2 linked regions of the Astyanax mexicanus genome follow. The protein of the gene in region 1 interacts with the protein of each later gene in a pairwise test. Links are inferred from orthologs where the notes say so. Each region holds a gene or a part of one and is shown in the gene's direction. Other genes may lie near its edges.

Evidence for each region.
Region 2: the proteins of usp47 (region 1) and ap4m1 interact in binary tests that used the Homo sapiens proteins (3 or more experiments, as listed by UniProt). The two-hybrid records come from large-scale screens. The link is inferred for Astyanax mexicanus from reciprocal best matches to the Homo sapiens genes USP47 and AP4M1.

What each region holds. Positions count from the first base shown.
Region 1 is NC_064423.1:34,874,097-34,878,020, forward strand, and holds the start of usp47 (ubiquitin carboxyl-terminal hydrolase 47), read left to right. Parts: upstream 1-1,150; 5' UTR 1,151-1,367; coding exon 1,368-1,412; intron 1,413-3,924. UniProt on the Homo sapiens protein: Ubiquitin-specific protease that specifically deubiquitinates monoubiquitinated DNA polymerase beta (POLB), stabilizing POLB thereby playing a role in base-excision repair (BER). Acts as a regulator of cell growth and genome integrity.
Region 2 is NC_064427.1:10,825,834-10,829,757, forward strand, and holds the start of ap4m1 (AP-4 complex subunit mu-1), read left to right. Parts: upstream 1-1,179; 5' UTR 1,180-1,425; coding exon 1,426-1,483; intron 1,484-2,503; coding exon 2,504-2,589; intron 2,590-3,436; coding exon 3,437-3,543; intron 3,544-3,661; coding exon 3,662-3,758; intron 3,759-3,924. UniProt on the Homo sapiens protein: Component of the adaptor protein complex 4 (AP-4). Adaptor protein complexes are vesicle coat components involved both in vesicle formation and cargo selection. They control the vesicular transport of proteins in different trafficking pathways.

The sequences.
Region 1 (3,924 bases):
CATTCTTCCTTCAGTTTAATAATTTGTCTCCTTAATTTAATAAATAATTTTCTCAATTTAACCTTTCCCCCTAAATATAATATATTGTTTCCTCAATTTAATAAAGTGATAATAATGTGTTTAATAAAATTCAATAACTGTTCCTTTAATTTAATAGCTTTTTCACCTCATTTAATAAATTGTTCCCTTTGTTTAGTATATTTGTTTAATGTTTAATTTTTCCTTGATTTAATGTTGTTCCCCCAATTCAATTCATCGTTGTTCCCTAATGTTCCCTAATTTTTCCAATTTCACTAATTGGTCCCTTAACTAAAAAGTTGTTTTCTCAATTTAGTAGGTTGTTTCCACAGTTTAACAAACTGTCCCTTTATGAATAATTTCATTAATTTTTCATTTAATTTCATAAATGGTTCACTAAGTTTCTACGAATTAGGTTGTTCCCAGTTTAACAATTTGTTTCCTTATTTAAAAAAAAAAATTCAATTTGAGTAATTGTTTCCTATATTTAATAAACTGTTTTCTGTTTATTCAATTACTCCCAAAATGTAAGAATTTGCTTGAATTCTATTTCCTCAATTAGAATATAAGACCAATTGGTAATTTTGCAAAGTGCTGTAAGATTTATCAAGATGGACTTGATAGAACACAGTGGATCAACACCAGCAGATGACATGTCTCTCCAAACCATCACTGATTGTGAAAACTTCACACTAGACCTCAAGCAGCTTGAACTGTGTGTCTCTCCACTCTTCCTCCAGACTCTGGTCACTTGTTTTCCAAATGAAATGCAAAATGTACTGATGGTCAGTGCTGGTTTGGAAAGACATGTCATCTGCTGGTGTTGATCCACTGTGTTATATCAAGTCCAAAGTCAGTGCATCTTACATCTTTTATGAAGATGTGGATTTCATTTTCCAGCAGGACTTGGCACACTGCCCACAATGCTAAAAGTACTAATTGGTCTTATATAATATTCTAATTTTCTAATGCACTGAATTACTGAAATAAAGTAACTTTCCAGTGATATTCTAGTTTTTGAGATACAGCACTAGTAGTTATATTATTGTTGTTGTTGTTGTGATTAAATGATCAGCGCGAGTGTTTGGGAAGTGACGCAGGGCCTGGGCTGAAATCTCGCGAAACTGGGAGGCGGCCATTTTTACCCCCATTGATTGCAGTTTGTGGTCGCAGCTCAGAAAGAAAGTATCTGCGATTACTTCCATAACAAGTTTACAGCGCCGCGGCTCAGCTTCCACAGCGACCCGGAGCTCAGCCGGAGCGCGGATAATGCTCAGCCACAGCGCCGCGGAGAGCTGCTGTTGACCCCAGAGCCCGGGTGGATGAGCGCGTAGATAACAGTCGCCCAGATGGAAATGGTGCCCAGCGAGGAGAAGCAGCTTGTACCTAAAGAGGTGAGAGAACCTCTCCCCGGGAGAGAGAGGGACAGGGGGCCGGGCTCTGCACTGACAGGCCCGACTTTTGCCCGCACAGCACCCCGCTGTATTACTGAACCTCCGCGGCGTCTGGCTGCCTGGATGTCTGTGGGCTAAACGGTGGAAAATACACGAAAGTGATGGGTTGTCAGCTAACAGCTAGCTGTAGCTAACGTTAGCGGCTAAGTGCGAGCACTGGGCCGTATCTCAAACTGTACACTACCACACTAGCTAGCTAGCTATCTAGATAGCAAGCTAGCTAAATAAATAGTGGATGGCTAGCTAGTTATCCTAGCTATGTTAGCTAAAGTAGTTCATAGCTGTTATGTGGCTTCAAGTGTTAGCCTAGCTTTAGCTTAGCAGCTAAATGTGACTGTACACTACTAGTTACATAAATAGTAGCTAGTTAGCATAGCTATGTTTACAAAAGTGCTTTACAGTTGCTATGTGGCTTTGAGGCTTAGCTTAGCTAATGTTAGCGACTAAATGTGAGCCATGGGCTGTGTCACAAACTGTACACTACCACTCTAGCTAGCAAACTAACTAAATAAACAGTAGCTAGCTAATTAGCTACGTTAGCTAAAGTGCTACACAGCTATTTGGTGGCTTGGAGTGTTACGCTAGCTTAGCTAGTGTTGGCTAGCAACTAAGTGTGAGCCTTGGGCTGTGTAACAAACTGTACACTACCACACTAGCTAACTATCAAACTAGCTAAATAAATAGTATCTAGCTAGTTATCTATGCCAGCTAAAGTTCTGCCAGCTGTTTAGTGGTTTGGAGTGTTAACGCTAGTTTAGCTATTGTTAGTTAGCAACTAAATGTGAGCCTTGGGCTCTGTCAAACTGTACACTACCGCACTAGCTAGCAAACATGTCTTTAACTAACTATGTCTGCAAGTAATTCACACACATTGTAGCCAGCAACATTGTTTACAGTTGTGTTCTAGCTAGTGGAACTAGTAGCTAGCTACATTTAAAAAATAAAAAAAGAGACCAGTTAAAAAAAGTGAGTTTCTTTGATTTTACCAAATTGAAAACCTTTGGGATGTAATCAAGAGGAAGATTGATCATCACAAGCCATTAAACGAAGCTGAACTGCTTGGTGTAGTTATCCAAAAGCAGTGTGGAAGACTGGTGGAGTAGAACATACCAATATGCATGGAAACTATGATTAAAACTCATCACACATATTGACTCTTCAAACTTTATGAATATGAATATTTATTTAGAATTTGGGAAAAATGTTATCCCCACTTTATAAAATAAAATACCAACAATTTTACTCAAACATATACAAAATCAGAGAAACTGATTCAGAAAGTGAGGTGGTCTCTTCATTTTTTCCAGAGTTGTATTTTAGCTAAAAGTAGTGCACAACTATTTGTTTTAGCTAACTAAGTGTGTTCATTGCATATGAAGCTAGTGTAGTAGCAGCACAGTTGTCATTTGGAACACAGCCTTCTTCCTCTAGGAAGCTAGCTAGCGTAGCTAAATAGTAGCTGGTTTGCTGTGTCTGCTACCTAAAAGAAGAGTACAACATTTAACAACCTGGCTAGCAGTACAATTGTCATTTGGAACACAGCCTTTATCCTCTAGCTAAGCAAACGCTAGCTAGCAGACTTCCTCGCTAAGATCATAACTAGCTAGCTAGCTGGCTAGCTTTTTGAAAAACGGAATAATCCAAATAACAAACTAACCAGCTAAATATGTGAGGAACAGTGGTGGTGAATCCAGGTCTATTTCTGTAACGTTACAGTTTAAGTTGTAAGACTATTTTTCTGTTAAAGTAGCTTTAAAATGTTTTTATGCGCTAACGCTAGCTAGCTAACGCACTACGGAGCTGGTTGGCTGCTCTGCAGCAAACATAGATTAGCTTGTTAGCTTCCAAGCTAGCTTCTGTTTTGAGGTAAAACTTAAGTGTTTATATCAGACTCAATATCATATTTTCTATGTTAATTAGTCTGACACTAGGTTTTACTTAATGAAAACTCAAACTCAGTATTTGTGATGCAGTTTGACTGTCAGAAACTCTGATTTCACAGCTTACAAATGTTTACTAGCTATTTAAATCTACAGGTCTGTTTTTCTAGATATTTCTAGTAGGGGTGGGCAATATTATATCGTATACAATATATCGTGACACAGAAATATCATGATATTAAAAATCCATATCGTGATAATAGGGCTGTTCTGTCTTAAAAGTAGTCTGTTATTCACTGTGAAGCTTTAGGTGTATTTATTGTATAATTTTTTCAGTTTGCAGTTTATATGCATGCACTAAATATTCTGCAATATTATCTGCTGCATTATATTATTTTATGCTATATTGTTTATTTTGCCACATTATGATTATGCTATTATACTGTTATACTATATTCCTGAAATTAATTAATTATTTTAGTTTTCCTATATCGCTAAGTATATCGCTATCGCAAAAATACCCTGAAATATCTGATATTATTTTAGAGCCATATCGCCCACCCCTAGTTTCT
Region 2 (3,924 bases), on another chromosome or scaffold:
AAACAATATAGTTTGGACACATATTCTCTTGTTGTAGTTTGAACTTGTAGATTAATCTTAAAGTCGTCCAAACTATGAGGTATATATGGAATTATTTAGAAAAAAAAATGTAATAAAAGAGTATGTTTTTTTTAGTAGGCACCGTAGGGAGCTTAGATGACAGCTTTGGATATCTTGGCATTTTCTTAGTGAGCTTTTTGAGTTAATTACCTCGAATGGCTTTCAGTTAACAGCTGTGCTTTGTCAAGAGTTAACTACTTGCTTGCCCTTAGTGTGTTTAAGACCATCAGAAGTAGAGTTGGTATACAGTGAATGTTCTAATCCATAGTATGGCAAGAACTGCTCAACTAAGTAAAGAAAACTACACTCTACAATTACTTCAAGAACTGAAAGTCAGACAAGAAAGGGTCAATCAGATTTTTTTAAGAATTTTGAAATTATTCTCAAGTGCAGTCGCAAAGACAATTGAACTTTATAATAAAACTGGCTCTCATCAGGACCATGCAGGTGGCTCTCATCAGAACCTGCATGGCTATCACAACATTCTGCACCAACATGCCATCTTGTCTGTTTTGCACTTAGTAGGTGCCTGCTCTACTCAAACCAGTATACTCAAATCTAAAAGAAAATTTGGTTTGTTTACCACTTTACTATGTGATTCCTTATGTGTTCCTCCATAGTCTGAATGACTTTAAACTGTAGAAAAAAAAATTTACTTTACATTTGACAATTAAATGTTTTTTTACCCATTGACGTTCCCATTTTAAAGATAAAGTATTCTTTCAGCAGAGATGAGATTGTTTGGTGTGTTGTAGACACAGGGTGATTTCATTTGAATTTAAATCTAAAGTCTCTATTTGAATGTGTGGTTTTAAACAGCCAGTAATCAACCAATTTAAATTTCCAAACAAAAATGTTACTTATATAGTAATACTTTAGATTATGATACACTTGCATATTTAGGTAGGCCTAATCATTAATTTGAAATTTATCTTATTTATATTTAAAGTAATCCTCAACCATAGAGAGATGGACATGAGACGATTAATTGAATTTTACTGAATTTGAGAGGTTTCTGGCTGATAAACTCTACCTCACATCTCTCATATCTGAGCTGTTCTGTCTCTGGTGCAGACCCGCGTGTGTGAGTTTCTCCTCCTGGCCATCAGGCGGCGCTAATGATTAATTTTCAACTGGCCGTCCGGAAAAGAGCAGCCGGTTGTTTACAGTGCTAGGTTAGTGTTCACAGCTAGATATTTAATTTTATATAATTTAACAGCTGCAGTTATGAGTAATATCTATGTTTGAATAAGTTATAGATAAATGTTGCTCGCGGTTCTGTAATATGGAACTTCAGTGGTGACCTGCTGCACATCTATGCGCGTAATCTTAGCCATACATTGATTCTGTTTTCTATTTCGGAAAATGATTTCTCAAGTGTTTATTTTATCCTCTAAAGGAGACCATCTCATTTACAAAGACTGTATCCTTCATTACTGATCCACAGAACTCTCTAAAGTACTGTATGATTAAGTTAAACATGTAAAGGTAGGATTGTAAAGGTTCAGTTTATACTGAACGTGAAGTATGTAACTTAAACCCCTGGGTTTTGTAATATGCAGCTCATATTAATAGTAATACTTGTAAATAAAACGCCTAGGTTTAAAACATTGACTGTCTCTATGCCTGTCTGTCCGTATATTAATCTAACTATGTCTGTCAGTTTACCTATCTGTCTAGAGGACTAGATACAGTAATACTGTAACTGTAAAATGTTCTTTTTTATCTGCTATCATTGCTTTTGCATGGACTGTATCCCGTGATTTCAATAAAAAATGGACCAGTATTACTATCAGATAATGCAGAATCTTGTAGCTGTAATGACACCAGAGGGTGTTTGTTGCTTAGGTACTTTTCACAATAAACTAAATTTGTATTGTATGACATTAGCAGGTGATTTAACAGTTTACAAGCCTATGTAGTGGCATTTGTCATTTAAATGCCCACCAAAAAAAAAAACAGAATAATGTACATACTGTTGGACTGCAGACACTTAACGGTATGTATATATTTATGTAAGCATTGCTAAAGAATGTATGCAGGAATGAGTTGAAAAAATATACTAATAATACAGTATTTCAGATGTAAATACACAATATTCTTGTAAAGAATTAATGCTAAATGTATATGGGACTCAGATAAAAGAAAACAAAAACATCCTGATCTGTTGCTGAATCCAGTCAGATCTTCACAGCAATGTTCCACAATCTAGAAGAAAGCAAACCCTAGAGAGACTTATTCCAACAAAACCAGGATAAACTCTGTTTGAATGCCCTTGATTTAGAAAGAAACAATAAATGAGCAGCTGTTTAAATACTTATGTCCAGCTAGTATACCTAACAGCAGGTTATGGCAGTATAGCTGCCACTAAATGGGGTTTTAGTGTTTAGGTTCTATCTCTGTTCCTGTGTGCTTGTTTGCATTTTGCTTAACACTATTACAGATCGTGGGGAAGCTGACAAAGATGCTGTCAGCATTTTTTATGAAATGGTTACGGCACTGAGTGGAGACCAGCCTCCTGTGGTGATGGTAATATGTTCAGAATTATTTAACTTTTTTGGGTTTGTACTTTAGGCATGTTTAACATAGGTGCATGTTGACTGCATGTACTTATGGTATGCATTACATTACATTACATTACATTACATTTGGCAGACGCTTTTGTCCAAAGCGACTTACAATAGTCAAGTACAATGTAAAATAAGTTTCAAGGTAAAACATCTTTGGATAGGGATAAAAGGAGGACAAGGGGAGTAATAGGATAGAGGAGTGAAGGAGAGGAAGAAGGAAATGAGGTTAGAAGTAGTTAGTGTGTTAGAGGTGTTAAGAGAGTAAGTGCTCTTTGAAGAGTTCTGTCTTCAGGAGTTTCTTAAAGATAGCGAGAGATTCTCCTGATCTGGTAGTGGAAGGTAGTTTGTTCCACCATTGGGGAACTCTGTATGAGAACAGTCTGGATTGCTTTGTGTGAGTTTTTGGCAAAGCGAGGCGACGTTCACTGGAGGAGCGCAGCGGCCGGGAGGTAGCGTAAGCCTTCAGGAGCGAGTGCAGGTAGGAAGGAGCCTGTTCTGTCATCAGGAGCCTGTTCTGTCATCAAGGAGCCTGTTCTGTCATCGACTCTACTATGTATGCGACTCGACTCTACTAAGATGTTAAATTTTTCTATATGAAAATATTGCAAATTTGGTACCTAGTACTTAAAACTGGGTACTTTTTCAGTATCTGTTTCATGTGATTCATTATGTAACATGTATAGATTGCAGAGCGCCGACTGGCCAGAGAAAATCCTCAAACCAGAAGCCACAAACTATAGTAACTACTGTAATAAAGATCAAATTAATTGTGGCTAAAGAATTACCTTCTTATTTTGGTTTTACAGAGTCATAAAGATCTAAACTTCATTCATGTCAGACAAGGTGGACTTTACTGGGTAGCATCTACAAAGACTGACGCCTCTCCGTTCACCATCATAGAGTTTCTCAACAGGTAAACAGCGTTGTCACTTGCCACTTTTTCATTAAAATATGCGGGGTTTTTTTTGGTGTTGTGTAAAGTCACCTTGCATTTCTTGAGGATGAAGCTAATGTTTTTGAATGTTTTGCAGGCTTGCAGCTCTAACTAAAGACTACTGTGGCAGTCTGTGTGAGAAATCTGTGCGGATGAACTTTGCCCTTATTTACGAGCTCCTGGATGAGATGGTGGTAAGTACATATGCCTTTCATTCATTTTAAAATATTTGGATTACACAGTGACCAAATGAATACATAATATAAAGAAAAGTTGGTAAATTTGCTTAATTTTATTAGCAATTTTTAATTTACCCATTTTTGGTTACTACAAATTATTATTATTTTTTTATTTGATTAA